Linked DNA regions of Astyanax mexicanus. The protein of the gene in region 2 purifies or fractionates together with the protein of the main gene of each other region. This does not show direct contact. Links are inferred from orthologs where the notes say so. Each region holds a gene or a part of one and is shown on either strand. Other genes may lie near its edges.

The links.
Region 1: the proteins of tap1 (region 2) and tapbp.1 purify together in Homo sapiens (co-immunoprecipitation; 6 studies listed by BioGRID and IntAct, with this or other methods). This does not show direct contact. The link is inferred for Astyanax mexicanus from reciprocal best matches to the Homo sapiens genes TAP1 and TAPBP.

The regions. Positions count from the first base shown.
Region 1 is NC_064410.1:22,173,622-22,182,738, forward strand, and holds the start of tapbp.1 (TAP binding protein (tapasin), tandem duplicate 1), read left to right. Parts: upstream 1-5,530; 5' UTR 5,531-5,644; coding exon 5,645-5,705; intron 5,706-7,737; coding exon 7,738-7,920; intron 7,921-8,721; coding exon 8,722-8,970; intron 8,971-9,117. Other genes in the region: psmb8a (proteasome subunit beta type-8), read left to right, coding at 416-557, 707-818, 2,198-2,327, 2,472-2,676, 2,906-2,994. UniProt on the Homo sapiens protein: Involved in the association of MHC class I with transporter associated with antigen processing (TAP) and in the assembly of MHC class I with peptide (peptide loading).
Region 2 is NC_064408.1:118,043,945-118,052,530, reverse strand, and holds the start of tap1 (antigen peptide transporter 1), read right to left. Parts: upstream 3,903-8,586; 5' UTR 3,764-3,902; intron 3,682-3,763; exon of another isoform or gene 3,451-3,681; intron 922-3,450; 5' UTR 911-921; coding exon 584-910; intron 1-583. UniProt on the Homo sapiens protein: ABC transporter associated with antigen processing. In complex with TAP2 mediates unidirectional translocation of peptide antigens from cytosol to endoplasmic reticulum (ER) for loading onto MHC class I (MHCI) molecules.

The DNA.
Region 1 (9,117 bases), on a different chromosome or scaffold from region 2:
CTTTTTAACACGTAACCCCTCCTGGTCCCATTACTGACCCTAATTGGGTTCCCATAGATGGAATGTGGTCTAGATAATTTTGGGGTGGGCATGGGCTCCGAGTGGGTTTGTAGCCTACATGTGTTGTTACTGGCACCCGGTTGGTCTTCCCAAAAGGAACCTGTTATCATGGTCCTATCACTAACTCTTGTTGGGGCCGTGCCACACGATTGACATTCATATGCGGTGCCAACATGGAAGCCGTAGACAAAACCTTTGTTGGTTCCCAGTTGGGGTACCCATACAGACCCAACATGGATATTTTAAGCTGCTCACTGACTTTAAAGTACACAGTGTTACTATAATAATAATAATTGTAAGTGGTATAAATCAAAAATGTTTGAACAGGCTCTAAAATCATCTTGTGTTTTTTCAGCCATCAACCTTTCTACAGTCATGCAGCTGTGAGGATGGCATATCAATTGACATGAACCATGGCACCACCACACTGGCTTTCAAGTTTCGCCATGGCGTCATCGTGGCAGTTGACTCTAGGGCTTCAGCTGGTAACTACATAGGTAAGTATACTCACATCACTTTACTTCACAAGTTACACAAAGTAAATCACATATTCACAGAATTAAAAAGTTATAGCATAATTGTAAATTACAATACCACACCCAGTCGTGTAATTTTTATACCATCCTATATGTTTTGTTTCTAATAGACACAAAGGAAGCAAATAAGGTGATTGAGATCAACCCTTACCTGCTGGGTACCATGTCCGGCAGTGCAGCAGACTGTCAGTACTGGGAAAGACTCCTGGCTAAAGAGTGCAGGTTTGTTCGAACTTGAATCGTTTGAGGATGGAGGGAGTGCACATATAAAGTTACCATCAACTGTGTGTGTGTATGTGTGCGCATGTGTGTGCATTTGTTGCCATGTCAGGAAATTTTGCCAGTCATCTCAACTCAGCAGATGCATCTATGCACCCAAAAGGAAAATCTTTTTCTTTACATAAGATAAAGTGCATTAAACATGCTATGGTGCTAATTTTCATGCAAAAAAAGTTATTCCTTATATCAACTAAATCATTCAATTAACCACATTCAGTTGATAGTTGGGTTCAATTTCCCTAACCACACCCAGGTACAATTTAATGACAGTGTTCGAATGCAAATACAGATGTAAACATTCCCAGAATGTATACAGTCTGCCAGTCGGGGAAGTGTTACAAAGCTAAGTCTTAAACTAGGTCTTTGGGAGTCATTATCCATGAATGGAGAAAATTCTGAACAGTGGTGAAACTTTTAATTTAGTGGGCAGCCTGTTAAACAAATTCAGCATGTGTGCATTGCCTACAAAAACATCTTAAGGATCTGCAGTCATTTTGTGCCTCAGTTACTATCAACGTACACAATTTTAGGATCTGTGGGATAATATTCTGTGGTGGTAGAATGTTTTGTAAGACATGGATCTTGATAAATCTGGTGGAAAGCTAACTCTGCATAAGAACATAATACCAATAGTCAGATTGTGATTTGCTTAAGCAAAGATGGGTTATGCAAAAGGACAATGATTCAAAGCATACAAGCAAGTCTATGGCCCAAAAAAAGAATTACGGTGTAGGAATGGCCAAGTCTTAAATGGACACATCGTGCCTGAAAACTCACCAGTGTAGTTGAATAAAAACAATATTGCAAAGACAAGCAAACTGAAATTCCTCAACATAAGTGATTGCAAACATTTGATTGCAGTTATTACTGCCAAGAGTGTCACAACCAGATGTTAGATGTATTTTTATGGGGACGATTTATTTTAAATATGGGTGATATGATTTAAAACCCTTATTGTGTGTTTAATTAGTTGGTTTAGTTGGATAAAAGGAAACATTTCAGTCTGACAAATAAAAAAAAGAATACTTTACTTTTCCATAGCACTTTATTAACACTGTTTTATTTTGACATAGAAATAAGGTGAAATGTCCAATAATGGAAAGCAAATAGATATGAGACGCTAACAAATTACTAATAAATAATTAAGATATCGGTAAAGTGTATTTGAACTAAATATGTCAAGTAAATTTTACTTACGATTAATTTAAATTGAAAAATTACCAGTATAGCTAATAAAAACACATTTTTTACTCCAACATAAATGACCAAAGCATAAGTGTTGCATTATGTGTGAGTGTTTTGTGTTTTGTTTGTGTCTTCAGGCTTTACCAGCTACGCAATGGTCAAAGGATCTCTGTGTCTGCAGCATCCAAGCTGCTGTCCAACATGATGATAGGTTATCGAGGGATGGGCCTCTCCATGGGTAGTATGATCTGTGGCTGGGACAAGAAGGTACAGCATTATATGTGTATATTTTTGAGATTTTATTTTTATTGATGAGCAATATATACATCTATGAGATATTTTTAAATGATGTCATGATTCGTACTGAGTTGACCTGCCACTGATCCTTTTGCCCTTGCTTTTGACATTCAGGGTCCAGGTTTGTATTATGTTGATTCCGAAGGTACACGTCTCTCAGGTTGGATGTTTTCCACGGGCTGTGGGAACAGCTATGCGTACGGTGTAGTGGATGCTGGCTACCGTGAAGATTTGACTGTAGAAGAGGCGTATGAGCTGGGCCGACGTGGCATTGCCCACGCCACTCACAGAGATGCCTACTCTGGTGGAGTGGTCAACCGTAAGTCATTTTTACTCATAATGCACTCATAATACTCATACTCATAATACACACAATACATAATACACAATACTACATTCAAAGTAGTGAATTATGTTTACAGTAGATTACAATTTGTTTCAGCATGATGAAACCATACAAATTATGCAATAAACACTACAGACTTTTCATCAAATCCATGTTTATATGCAGATTTGTGATATCTGTTTTTTCTTTTATGTCTTTGTAGTCTATCATATGCAGGAGGATGGCTGGATCAAGGTATGCAAGGAGGATGTGTCTGAGCTAATCCACCGCTACAGAAAAGGAATGTTCTGATTCCAGATCAGTTCTTATTTAGTCTGATGTAGAAACATTGTCATTGCTCTGTAAATGGGCCAAATTAAGTCAGAAATCATTTTTAAATAAAGTTTTTTTAACTGAACACTAAACAAAGTTGTATTTCTTTTTTGGGTCAAAAGTGTCAGTTCTGATTTGTCCTGTGGGATTAATAAAGGATTATCTCAATTTACCCCAAAACAGGTTCTTTTAAAAATAATTTATAATGCATTATCTGATGTGAGATATGATGTTGCTAATGTAAGCTATAAGTGTTGCTGATCATTCTAAAATTAGCAATTGTCAACAATTATCCGGAGGTTGTACTACACAACATATGCTACACATTATTCAATAGCAAAATTCATACAGTATCTGATTATGTATGCTACATATAATTTTCTTACAAAACAAATCTTAAAACTTTGCATAAAACAATTAGTTTATTTTTTGTTCATGTAGCATTACCTCAGCCTTAAACAATTTAGGTATTGGGTAATGAAAACTTAGGTTAGCTTGTGTGGGTGTAGATTGTGACAGAAGCCAGTGGAGCCCACAAATGTTCAACTATCTCAAAATAGTTGAGGATTGTTTAGAAATATCCAATTTTATGTAAAACAGATAATTTGAGTTCAAACAAGTATGGGTTTAAAGTGTGGGAGTTGGTCTAAGATAATTAGAGGCCGGACTGGTTGACTAGGAACAGTCACTGAAAGTTTAACACTGGTTAAATGTGCTGGAAACTTTTTCCTCCTTCTCGCCCTGTGGTGGGGCATCACCCGAATACCCTAAATTTGAAACCGCAACTGATGTTACTGCTGTTCATTCATACTTATCCATGCTGCTACAGGAAAAGTGCCTTATTCACTCTTCTCACACTAATACTCATGTTGCTGCACTTTTTCTTTTTCTTTTAGCTCCTTTTCCCCTACTTTTCTTATTTATATGCATGTCTATGTGACGATGCTCGTCGAACTCCCAGGGAGACACAATGTCACCAGGTAGTATAGCTGAGTAGGATGTAGTGGATGGAGGTACCACGCTGATGCCACATGAGTCCGTTCAAACAGTGATCATTTATTTAAACCCAGTGAAAATGCAAAACAAAAAGATTGATTAAGGAAAACAAAACATATTAAAAGGACACTCCCTGACTTAAAGCAGTATAGGAAAGTATTAGAGCCCAGGCCACAAGATCATAGAACTCCATAGGTGCTGACCCACTGAGGAAGGTAAACGTAATAACATTAAATCAGCAGAGTTATAGGCCTTGTGACAATACTTGTTAACATTAAACATAGTGTACAACAAAATTTCCTTTTTAGGACTGACCTCACCCCCCTACTAGAATAAGCAGTGAACCCTACAGCGTACCCCAATTAAGTAAGTCAGCCCCCACATTCTTATTTACAGCTCTGGAAAGAAAATAAGAGACCACTTACAAATTATGAGTTTCTTTGATTTTACCAAATTGAAAACCTCTGGAATATAATCAAGAGAAAGATGGATGATCACAAGCCATCAAACCAAGCTGAACTGCTTAATTCTTTGCACCAGGAGTGGCATAAAGTTATCTAATAACAATGTGTAAGACTGGTGGAGGAGAACATGCCAAGATGCAAGAAAACTGATAATAATAAATATTCTAAATGACAATATTTTTATTTGGAATTTGGGAGAAATGATGTCAGTAGTTCACAGAATAAAACAACAATGTTCATTTTATTCAAACATATACATATAAATAGCAAAATCAAAGAAACTAATTCAGAAACTAAACTGGTCTCTTTTTTTTCTTAAAGAGCTGTACATACAGATGTAGCAGTTTTACTGACCTCAACACAGCCCATTTATCTATTTTATTCTTTATTTTATCTTTTATCTTATTTTTCTTAGATAATAATTGCCCTAAAAACTAAATACTGATAATCAAATGGATTTTGAAATTTGAAATTTGAAATTTTCTGGATAAAATACATCAATATAAAAATACATCTAAATATATCCCCATCTAAAAATAAAAGAAAAATCACTAATGAGGCAAAGGCTTTGTTTGAGCAGGAGCTGTTGAGAAATCACATGATTGGTGAGAACAGGGTGAAATAAGGTCAGTTTATGATCTGCCCCTAGTGGTGAAGTTCAGGGTCTGTGGAAACGACTGTCCTGCAGCGCCACCCTGTGTTTAATAAAACCACATGCTGCTTTTGAAAAGAGAAATATGAAGATTAAGGGTGGGTAAACCAGCTCCAGAACGTAAAAATCCATCACAGGGTTTCCTGCCAACTGCCTGGGCGGCTCTGCTGCAGCTGCGCTTTACACAGAGCCGCACATGCAGTCGGTACGAAACCCTGGGATGGATTTTTACGTTTATGAACACATTATGAACAAAAACAATTTCCATGGCCTGTTTGAAGGTAGTATGTATTTGCTAAAACACCCTACAAAAAAACTTAAAATTAAAATAATAACATTAAAATGTCCAAACCTGGCTCAGATATTTTTGAGACTTTTTTCCAGCGCATGCGCAGTCCGCGTTCATAAGTGAAAGTGAAATGTGTGTTGCTGGGTTTCGCAGGGGGATTTTCGCTGCTGTTTTCTGACTGCTCTAAAAGTCGTACGAGCACTCTAAACACACCGACAGCGAAGAAAAATGCGTGACATTTCCACTATTTACAAGATTTCAATTCTCGCCTGTACTTTGGCCATCGGCGGTGAGTATTAGTATTATGCATTACAGCTGCCCTGCACAGACATTTGTTCTGTCGAATTTTGCTACCCATCGATACATGCTTCCCAAAGGTACTGCGCATGCGCCGACCTACACAATTTAATTCTTTCTCGTGTTTTATGTATAATTAATCTGGTTTAGGGGGCGTTATGTGCATTAAACAACCTGGACGCACTATCATTGCACAGAAGTGTAAATGGAAACTAAAAATTACACTTATTATCATAAATAAATACAAAAGCAGTTTGTAATGAGCTATATTTACTATAACTTTGCCATGGTACAATGAATTATGCACTCCAAATCTAATAACGTACATCTACTGGAATATCACTGGGTACATGCCCTAAAATAGTGCTTCTTTTGTATTTTTACAGTTAAATATTCATTGGGGCAGCACGGTTCGACAAGGTAGCAGAATTCGACAGAACACATTAACTATGGCCATCGCCAGGTTAGCTTACTAATGACAACAGCAGCCTGTATAAACTCACTGTTCGACAGGAAATACAATAGCGAGCTAATTTGAAGAACATTTATCGAGAAAAACATGGCTAACCTAACAGTTTGGACAGCTTTTATAAGTCGACAGTGTGTTAACTGCATGTTTTTACTCTTGTCAGACTCATTATAGCATTAAGATTCCATATGGAAAAATGTTATGTTTGTAGGTATATGTTTGAGTAAAATGAACATTGTAGTTTTATTCTATAAACTACGGACAACATTTCTCCCAAATTCCAAATGAAAATATTGTCATTTAGAGCATTTGTTTGCAGAAAATGAAAAATATGCAGAGCTTTAAGACCTCAAATAACGCAAAGAAAACAAGTTCATATTTATAAAGTTTTAAGAGTTCAGAAATCAATATTTGGTGAAGTAAATCTGTTTTTTTAATCACATTTTTCGTGTTTTTTCCTCTTATGTTCCATTATGTTCTAAAGGTTTTCAATTTGGCAAACAAACTCATTATATATAAGTTTGGACACACCTTAAAATCAGTGGGTTTTTATTTTTTAAACTAAAGCCATCCAAACTATGAAGAAAAAAACATTACTGGAATTATTCAGTAAACAAACAAAAAAACTTTTAATCAGCTATTTAGAGACAATCTCCTAGATTGACAGCTGTGCTTCGTCAAGAATTTGAATTAATGTGTTTGAGAGCATCAGTTGTGTTGTAACGAGGTAGAGTTGGTATATAGTGAACAGCCCGATTTGAGTAATGTTCTAATACATATTATGACTAAGTAAAAAACTAAGTAAAAAAGTAGAAATATTTTAAGACCTTCTTAAGAAAGTATCCTCAGGTGCAGTCACAATGACCATCCAAAAACATTATGATGAAACTGGCTCTCATCAGGACCCTGAGTTATCTCTGTTGCAATGGATAAGTTTATCAGAGTTGCGAGCCTCAGAAACAGAACCAGTTACCAGCACCCCAGATAAGAGCACCTAAATGCTTCACAGAATGTTTTGGCTTTTTTTTATTACATTATTCCTTTATGTGTTCCTTTATAGTGAGGATGACTAAATTATTCATTTAAAATAAAAAATAAAAAAATCCTTAAATTAGGTGGATTTCCTTTTTTATATTTAAGTCATCCAAACTATAAAGAAAAACGTGGAATTATTTAGTAAACAAATAAGCCTTTCTTAGTCAGCTTTTTAGAGGTAGTCACGCAAAGACCATCAAAAAGGCTATGATGAAACTGGCTCTCATCAGGACCACTCCAGGAAAGGAAGAACATGGGTTCTTCTGTTAGACCGGATATGTTCATCAAAGTTATCAGCCTGAGAAACCACAAGTTAACAGCACCCCAGTGTGTGTGTGTGTGTGTGTGTGTGTGTGCAACCTTGTTATGGCATAATTTGCCTTCCTTATCTGTCAGCAATATTTTTGTTCTGTTTTACTTTTACTTTTACAGATGTAAGTGTACATCGGTTTCATACTTTCATATTTAAAGGTTCACACAAGATGTTTGTCTAAAAGACCATTTTATCTGTTGGTGACAGTTTCAGGATGCTCTGTGCTGGAGTGCTGGTTTGTGCAGGAGAAACCAGGCCGTGGAGGGGGCTTTTCAGCTGCTATGAGCCAAGAGAAATCCCTCATCTACATCAGAAAGGACCCAGATAGTCCAAAGATGCAGCAGAAACCTCCATCAGACATCGATTTCTCCCGAATTTACTATGTAACAGGTTAGTATTAGAGTAACTTTAGTACCCGTCTGGAAAAAGTAGCATGGACCAGTATGAATTCCATGCATATCTTAGTGTGATGCTTTCTTAATCTTTTATTAATGTGCAGTGTTTTAAAAAATACTAGGCCCTGGACAGCATGTATATCATGTATAAGCAATGCTTGAAAGTCTCAAACAAACCCAAAAAAAAGATCATACTAAATATTTTTGGTATTTATTTTACAATTTTTGCCTGTACCAATTACAGGTGATATCTATAACCTGGTTCAAATTGTGACTTGTACCTAGTCCTGAAACTATAAGCATTTTTTTTTTCGATTGTATATTTTTTCCAGAAATTATTGTGATAAATGGTAATATTTTTTAAATGAAGCATATTAATGCAATTACACCACTTTTAATTAACAATGCACTTTACTTTTAATTATTAGAAACTTTTAGATGTTAAAATTGGAGTATAAAAAATAAAATAAAATAATGGGCTCTTCTCGTTAACAAAACCCAGAAATATTTAGGGCTCATTCCATTCTGCAGATAGGTTCACATAGATTCTCCTCAATATGTAAAACTATTAAAGATGTGTTTGTATAATGTGCAATAAATCAATAACATAATTATCATGTCAGGCCAACCAGCATTTTTATTTGGAATAATTATGATTTTTTTCTGTCTGTCACTCCTGAAGCATTGCTGAACGTGTCAAAATACATAGATATTAATCACTGGTTTGTAAATGTAATATAAAAATCTGAGTATGCTGGAAAATGATTTTACACTTCCTTCTCTTTATATCTTTCAGATCCCGCTGCCACTTTCTGCAGCTCTTCACTCCATCCACCTGAGGGCTCCCTTACCAAACCTCAGTGTGAGATAAACCCCTTCACTCCTCAAGCATCTTTGGTTAAATGGGCTGCATCACTCACAGAGACAGGCCAAAGCCCCACCTACCTGGATGGCGATTGGTATTCTGTGGCAGCACAGGGTCTTGATGGACAGCTAACACTGTCCAATGTGATGCAAGCTCCATCAGCTTCTAAAGAACCAAAAGGTAAAATGAGCTTGCATATCTTGCATATTTTGCACAAGAGAACACAGACTTGTATGCAGAGGAATATAGGATCAGATGAGAAAATGAATGTTGTACAAACCACATATTACAAACCACTAAGTTAAAGCAGATTTGGGTTGTTGTGTT
Region 2 (8,586 bases):
AAGATTTTAGATGCTCTTATCTGGGGTTAAGCTGTTAACTTGTGGTTTCTGAGGCTGGTAACTGATGAATTTATTGGAAACTATTGCTCTTTCTTTCCTGTAGCGTTCCTGATGAGTGCCAGTTCCATCATTATAATGTTTTTGATGGTCTTTTTTGTGACTGCACTTGAGGATACTTTCAAAGTTCTTGAAATTGACTTTCAGATTGATTGACCTTCATGTCTTAAAGTAATTATTCCAAGTATTTAGTACTTTAGTTTACTTTAGTTTAGTAGTTGTTGCTTTTCATAATCTGGATTAGAACATTACTCAAGTAGAGCTATTATTCACTGTATACCTGTAACTCTACCTCTTCACTACTTTACAACTGATGCTCTCAAACACTTTATTAAGAGACAAGAAATTAAAGTAATTAACTCTTGATGAGTTCAGCACAGCTGTTAACTGAAAGCCTGAATTCCAGGTGACTCTACCTCATAAAGCTGACTGAGAAAATCCAGCAGAGATGTATAAAACTGTCTCTATCTAAGCTAGAGGTAACTTTTAAGGTCAATAACTGAGTAATAAGTAATAACTCACTCACCCCCTCCCAGGTGTGCCATCCCCACAGCAGCTCCAGCGCTGAGCAGCCGCAGGTGCAGAGGAAGGTAATGTATGCAGGGTATAATAAACTGTGCACCAACACAGTCTGCACCCCCTCAGAGCTGCGCAGCCAGGCGGGGCTGCCGGGGTAAGAGAAGACTGTGAGGAGCAGCAGAGCGGCCCGGATCAGCCCCACGGCCCACAGCGTCACCCACGCCTGCTGATCCAACTGAGGGGAGAACCGAGCCCCCCCGAGAGTCCTCACCACACACACATCCACACACAGCAACACCACGAAGGAGAGATACGACGCCATCACCGCCTTCATTCCCAACCGCTCTGAAACACACAAACAGGATTTCAATGTAATATATCCATATAAGCATCCATAAAATAACAAATTCCAAAAGAAATAGTCAAATACTGCAAATATGCATTTGTGTACCAGTCCAAAAAGGTCATTTTCTTTATATAATTTATTTTCTACATTGTAGATTAAAATTAAAGACAATATAAAAGAAACAATTAAGGGACAAATATAAAATTATGCATTAAACCACAAAAAAGTGTCTTTTCTCCACATTAATCCCCTGATCTAAACCTGATCAACTGAGATGGTGATTTTTTGATGAGCTGGCACTTCAGCAACTATTGTTCAGCACCTCCAGGAAACCCAACAGGAACTCAACCATGATGTTAAACGATCCTATTTTTTTTTTAGGTCATTTGAGGCCACATTATCCCTTTCTCATAATTAGTATTGGTATATCCCCTCCTTCACTCCTCTATTCCATGATTGCCCTTTGACCTCCTTTAGGCCCTATATTAAGATGTTTTTACCTTCTATTATTTCTGTACTTCACTATTGTAAGTAGCTTTGGACAAAAGTGTCTGCTAAATGTATTGTAATGTAATGTAATGTAATGTAATATGAATAAAGGTATTTAAATTAATAAAAGGGTTAGTTTAAAGAATTATTGCACACTTTCTGTAAATCCTATAAACTTTATTTCACTTCTCAAATATAACTGTGTTCATCTGCTATATGATATATTTAACTGAAATTACTGATCTCAACAACCAATAATTTATAATCAGGAAAATCATGAAAATAATTAGGGGTGCCAAACCTTTTTCCTAAATAGTAAAAAAAAACATTTCTAAAGAATCCAACTAATATGAGAGCCCTGTATACAAATATATTACACACACAAATTAATGTGTGTTCCCTGTTTCAAAAAGTAACAGGAGTGAGCGTCAGTAACAGGAGTGAAGTCCAGTAACAGGAATGAGTATTTCCCCCTCGTTTATTGATTGATATTAATGTGAATATTGGTTAATGCAAACCACTTTTTCCAAAACTGTTTGGTTCATAATTTATCCATTTGTTTAATACTTTGCATAGTAAAAAATTTGATTAATTTCAGGTTTGGGTCTTCTTGATAAGATAAAAATGGCTGTGCGTATTTTAGAAAAATACAATGTGCATGCATATATAGTGATTATATATATATACAGTCAGAAATATAAATTATTTAAACATGCAGTAAACCATTTCTTTAAAACAAACACTTTTGCTGAGAGAAAATCAAAGGAATTAGTGAACTTGCTTTTAAACACCTTTTTAAATGTCACATGAGTTTTGGAAACAGGAAAAAAACAAGCTAATTTTTGCATCAGGAGTGGCATAAAGTTATCCAAAAGCAGTGTGTAAGACTGGTGGAGGAGAACATGATGCCAAGACGCATGATCAAAACTGTGATTAAAAAACAGGGTTATTCCACTAAACACTAATTTCTGAACTCTTAAAACATTATAAATATGAACTTGTTTTTTTTTCTTTGCATTATTTGAAGTCTGAAAGCTCTGCATCTTTTCTCATTTTCAGCAAAAAAGTGCTCTAAAAGACTTTGTATATTTTTATTTGGAATTTGGGAGAAATGTTGTCTGTAGTTTATAGAATAAAACAACAATGTTCATTTTACTCAAACATATATCTATAAATTCTATATTTATATATTAGATATACAATATATACAGTACCAGCAAAAGTTTGGACACACTTCTTCTTATTCAATGTGTTTTATTAGAAGTAAAACATTACTAGCCCAAATAGTTGTTTTAAAAAAACATTTCTAAAGAAGCCAAATAATATAAAAGCCATGTATAGAAACAGAGTAAAAATAAATAATTAATGTCTGTTCCCTGTTTTAGGTTGCTGTATGTGTTACTTTCGCTTTCACTGTTTCCTTATATGAACAAAAAAAACAACTTTGGCCTTAAAAAGTTCTTAAAATGAAAAAAGTATTATATACACTCTAAGAAATATAAGTACAGATTTGTACTTAAAAGAGTACAAAGCTTGTCGCTGGGGCTGTACCTTATATTGAGGTACAAAAAAGTACCTTTCAGTGAAAGTCCTTTTTTGTACCCATGGTTTTTGTGCCAGTATAGATTATAAAGATTATAAACATTGTCATCAACTAAAAATGGCTCAAAAACTTGATGATACAAAATTGTCTGGCTTTCAAATAAAAAAATGTGCAATTTAAATATATACTGTTCATTAGTACAGTGATGCAGAATACTGAATGTACCCTTTGGCTGGTTAAATGGTAACGTACAAATTTGTACTTATTGCTGTTAGAAATGACTTTGTACTTCAGAGGGAACAAATCTGACCCTGTAAAGACCAATATTGTACCTTTGAGGGTACAATTATAAAGAATGTACCTTCGAGTACAAAAAAGTACTCATATCGTACCTCTGTTTTTTAGAGTGTAGTCTAATTTTAAGCAGTAATACTAAGCAGTGAGGGTGCAGAGTTTAATATTTTAAAGTTTAAATGTATTAAAAATGAGTTCTTACCTTGTGAAACACCTTGAACACGGTGTTTACCTCCAGTCTAAAGGTAATATAACTCCTCTCTGAGTGAGCTGAAGGTGTTTAAGGTGTGAAAAACGCTCTCAGGGTTTAAATAAATAAATATATTAGTGTATAAAGATGTATAAAAGGCTGGAGGAGCAGCAGAACAGGCACGAGGCTGTTCAGCAGTAAAAGATCCGCAGCTGAACTAAATAACGAACCTGAAAGCGAAAGTAAAAAAACAGCCGGGAAAGTCCCGCTCTTCCCCGCGCTCTAAAACCTCTTAAAGACACATATCACCGTTAATAAGACTCACCTGAAGAAGAGACATGTTTATAATCAGGAGGATTTAATAAATAAAGCAGAGAAATCCGGATTAAACCGCGCTGTTTTCAGTCGGTCTGATCTGCTGTCCACCATTAAACTGCTACAGGAGGAGGCGCGGTGCGATTTAGCGAAACCGTGCGGCCAAACGGGGGATGTGCGCCTACAGCAGGGTTGCCAGGTACAACTTAGATATCCAGCCCAAAGTCAGTCTAAAACCAGCCCTTCAGACAGAGGTGGAAAAAGTACTGAAAAATTGTAATTAAGTAAAAGTACCTTGTACCCATCTAAAAATCTACTCGAGTAAAAGTAAAAAAGTACTCAATTTAAAATGTACTTTGAGTAAAAGTTACATAGTTACTTTTGATTATTTGATGTAAAAAAGTACAACAAATCATAAATTAAATCGTTTTTAATGAACAATTATTTCACATAATAATTTGGACCTTTCAACCAGTATTTGTCCAGACCACCCCATAAAACATTTTCAAGAATAAGTGGCAACAAGGTTTCTATGATCCATTCTTTTCTTTACTGTTAAAAAGTTATGTTCATATAGGTGACTATAAACTGTAATTTTATAGGTTTACAGGTCATTGTTATATTTTAACTTGCCATTGCTCTGCTTTAACTGCTATTTACATTTTTTTTACATTCAAAAGATTGTTTAATGATAAAAATACTTGCTACCACATGCTTTCTCAGGTTTGATGAGGAAGTTTTGAAAGCTGACAGCTCTGTCTGGCGGGGCACATTTTGTATTGCATGAGGACGTTACTGCCTCGTTATTCCACGCGCGAGCATCCGTGCGCCAGAGCATCCAAGCCAATTAATATATTTTTTAATTCAGACAATTGTTTTTTTTTCAGCATTTTATTTTTTACTCAGTAATTGGGAGTTTTCCAATGTAGCAAAGTAGATTACTTGTGTTAAAATGTACTCGAGTAAAAGTAAAATCTAAGTAAAACCTACTTTAGAAGCTTAAACTAGCCCAAAATATTAAGGGAGTTGTTATGAGTATTACTATTGACCTTAAAGTCATTAGTAATACTGTAACATTTGTGTTTTATAAATTATATTATAACAACAAAAAAAGACTTTTACTTACTCATTTCTGTTCTTGCCCCTCCTCTTTATCATTTGTTTCTCATTGACGGTCATTTCTGCTTACATTGTAATTTTTTTGTGTGTGTTTTTTTGTGACTTTTTTTGGTGGTCGTGGTAATTTTTAAAACAAGCCCAATTTGGCGGGAAAACGCAAACCTGGCAACTCTGACCTACAGGCCTGTAAATAGCAAGTGAAATGCACCAAATGCAAAAAAAAAAGAAATGCACCAAATCAACTGTAAAACTGTAATAGTTTTTAATATCTATTTACCTACTAGAAAATTAAACACTATTTAATATAGATAGATATAGGTATAGGTAGATAGATATTAAACACTATTACAGTTTTTCTCAGTTGATTTGGTTCATTTCTCACATCATGATTTACATTGGCATCACAACAAGTGCATTTCTCAAAACAGTTTAAACAGTGCAAACAGCAAAACTCAATGAAAAACATGCCAAAGCTCGTATCTCACTCACAATTCTTTGTTTTTGCCTCAACAGCAAATCTTTATTTAAATCAACTTGTCAGTGACATCAAAATGCCTAGCCTGTGTGTCAATGCCTAAGAACAAGGCAGTCAAAATAACAAGATAAGACAAAAAAAAAAAAAAATCATTAATTTAGGATAAATTACCAAAATGTACCAAAAAGGTTTCATAGAAATGTATGAATTATGCCTGAGAGATTATGACAACATGTTTAGCACTTTTGCATGTATTTGACTTAGGCAATGACCTAAAACCTAATTGTTTTGGAGGGTAAGACAATTTAACAGATAATCAGCACATCATATTTTGATGAGCACGACATAAGCAATGGATAATGCAAAAAACAGCTGAAAATTGTACATGATCATTTGCATGAATTTGAATGACAAACGCATTTGCAAAATGTGAAACACAATGAGAAATGCATGGAGATTGAATAGACAGTTTTGAGAATTTCAATTCTGATCTGAGAAATGTACCAAATCGACAAAGAAAAACTGTAAAATACCCCAAAATATATGTCTGTCTCATCATCGAAGCAAGGGATTTATTATCAGTATTACTATTTACCTTTCATTGAAGTCATTAATAATATTGTAACATTTGCGTTTTATTACTTATTTTATAACAACCACAAAAAGACTTTTACTTACTCATTTCTGTTCTTGCTCCTCCTGAGCTCTCTTCTCTCCACTTTAACTTTTTTTTTTTCATTACCTGGTGATATCTGGTTACATTGTGTGTTTTTTTTTTTTTTTTTTTTGCCTGCCATGGTAATTTTTAAAACAAGATCATTTTGAATTTTCAAACAAGCCTAATTTGGCAGGAAAACCGCGGACCTGGCAACTTTGACCTACAGGCCTGTAAACAGCAAGTGAGTAGGTAGATAGATAGTTAGATAATTGACTGATCCCAGATCAGGGCCTGTGCAGAGACATTTGGAGGGGCAGGTGCTCAAAGTCTAAAGAGGGCACATTGAGCGCGAATTTGAAACACCATACAAAAACATACTTTACAATATAACCGGTTGATTTGTGATCTTGTGATTGGTGTTACTGTAAACTACAAATGAACAGAAGTCACTTTACAGCAGTGTTTCTACACCCTATTCCTGCATATTTCCACTGTTCTGCATATTCTAGAGCATTCTCTGCTTTAAAGGCACTTACAGTTTTTCTGTATTTGTTACACATATTTTCTGAAAACATGCCTTATATTCTCAGAACTCAACACACAAATCCAACAAACACGCACACAATAGGTGCAAAACCCTTTAATTCTCCTGCAAAATGAAACATTCCATTCAAAAGAGTGTTATCTCTTCACAAAAGGCTATTTTGTGTTCAGATGACACACACAAACCATCATATGAACATACAATCAAAAGAAGCAGTTGAACACTGATGTGCTCAGTGTAAAACACCATTCTCCATTCATCATAATGATGAACTATGTTTTACACTTACTACAAACAGTATTGGTGCATGAGTTACATTTTGTGGTCATTGTGTTTCAAGTACCAATATTTGTGTGTAAACAATCGAGAAAAACTGTAAGTCATAATTATGAGATAGAAAAGTCATAATTATGGGATAGTAAGTCATAATTATGAGATAGAAAGTCATAATTATGAGATAGTAAGTCATAATTATGAGATAGTAAGTCATATTTATGAGATAAAAAGTCATCTCATAATTATGACTTTCTATCTCATAATTATGACTTTTTTATCTCATAATTATGACTTACTATCTCATAATTATGACTTACTATCCCATAATTATGACTTAGTTGAGGACGTTTTTTTTCTTCAGGTGGCGGAAATGGGCTTCCATAGATTATGGCTGTCACTGTGAATCGACTCAAGTTTGGCTGGACGCGCAGTCCAGCCTCTCTCATGGTCAACCCATGATTGATCACATGATCAACCAATGTAGCCCTAATCTCATCTGAGACAGCTCTCCTTGCTTCCCTTCTTTGCCCTTGTCCTCTTCCCTGTCCAACTCGTCCTCTTCCTCCCCTTCCAACTCCTCCTCCTCGAATCTGAACTCCTCGTGGACGTCCTCTGCCTCTACCAAACTCTCCCGGCTCTCTCTTCGTTGTCATTCATGGTTCAAAACAGACATCTTGACATTTGACCTATTTATAGGCCTATACTTAGCCAATGATTCGTTGGTGTTCAATAAAGTAATGAGTGCTGTGAGGGGTGGGAGTGAAGCACAGGTGATTTAGTGTGGCATTCTGATAGGTTGTGTTTGAAAGATGAAATCAAGTAACTTCCTGTTTGATCTTTGTGTGTTAGGTAGAAACTTGTGTGTAGAGTTTTGCAAAATGTGTGTTTGGTGTATGGTTTTGCAGATTTGGTGTGGGGTAATGTTGTTTGAAGGGCATGTTTAAAAAAAATAGTGTGACAAGCAAAGATTTAGTGTGTAAACAGTTGAAAAAAACTGTAATTATATATTTTTGTGTATTTGTGTGTTCTGAGTATAAAAACAATATTATTAAATTTTTTACAACGGACTTATGTATTTACTGTCTTTTGTTACAACCCTGTTACAAAATATTGTTATTTAATCCTGTTACTTTCAATCCTCTAGTCCCTCTAAACCAGGGGTCTCAAACTCATTTTTGCCGAGGGCCACATTGGCATATTGGCTGTCCTCTGAGGGCCAGATGTAACTTATAAATATAAGAAAATGTAACCAGATGTAATACAAAATGAATGTAATTACTCCTTAATGTTAAATAACTCTCAATATACTATTTATTCAATCAAATATTACAGTTGCATGGAAAAATGGTTGCTTGTTGCTCTATTAACATAAATCCTTTTAATTTATAAGTTATATTAACTTTGATCAAAACGTTTGATACTGAAATAAGGCTTAATAAATATAAAATCAAAAATTGTGAGCTTTGACAGATTTAGCATTTCCTCAGATTTAGCAGTTCCTCATCCAACCACTAGTCGGAGCTGCAGCAGCAGCACCACAAGCCCGCAGTCTTTGCTTAGTCAGAGCTACAGCCCAGCCACGGGCTACAGGGCTCAGCTGAGCCAGTCTGGAGCGTTTTTAAAAATTTGTAAGTTCTTCTGTGTATGAAATAAAATAACCCCACTAACCGGATAATACAGCTCTCTACAGTTCATCTTTCAGCCCAAGCAGCTAACAGCACTGCTCGGATTACATTATAAACAGGTCAGTTAGCGCGCTGC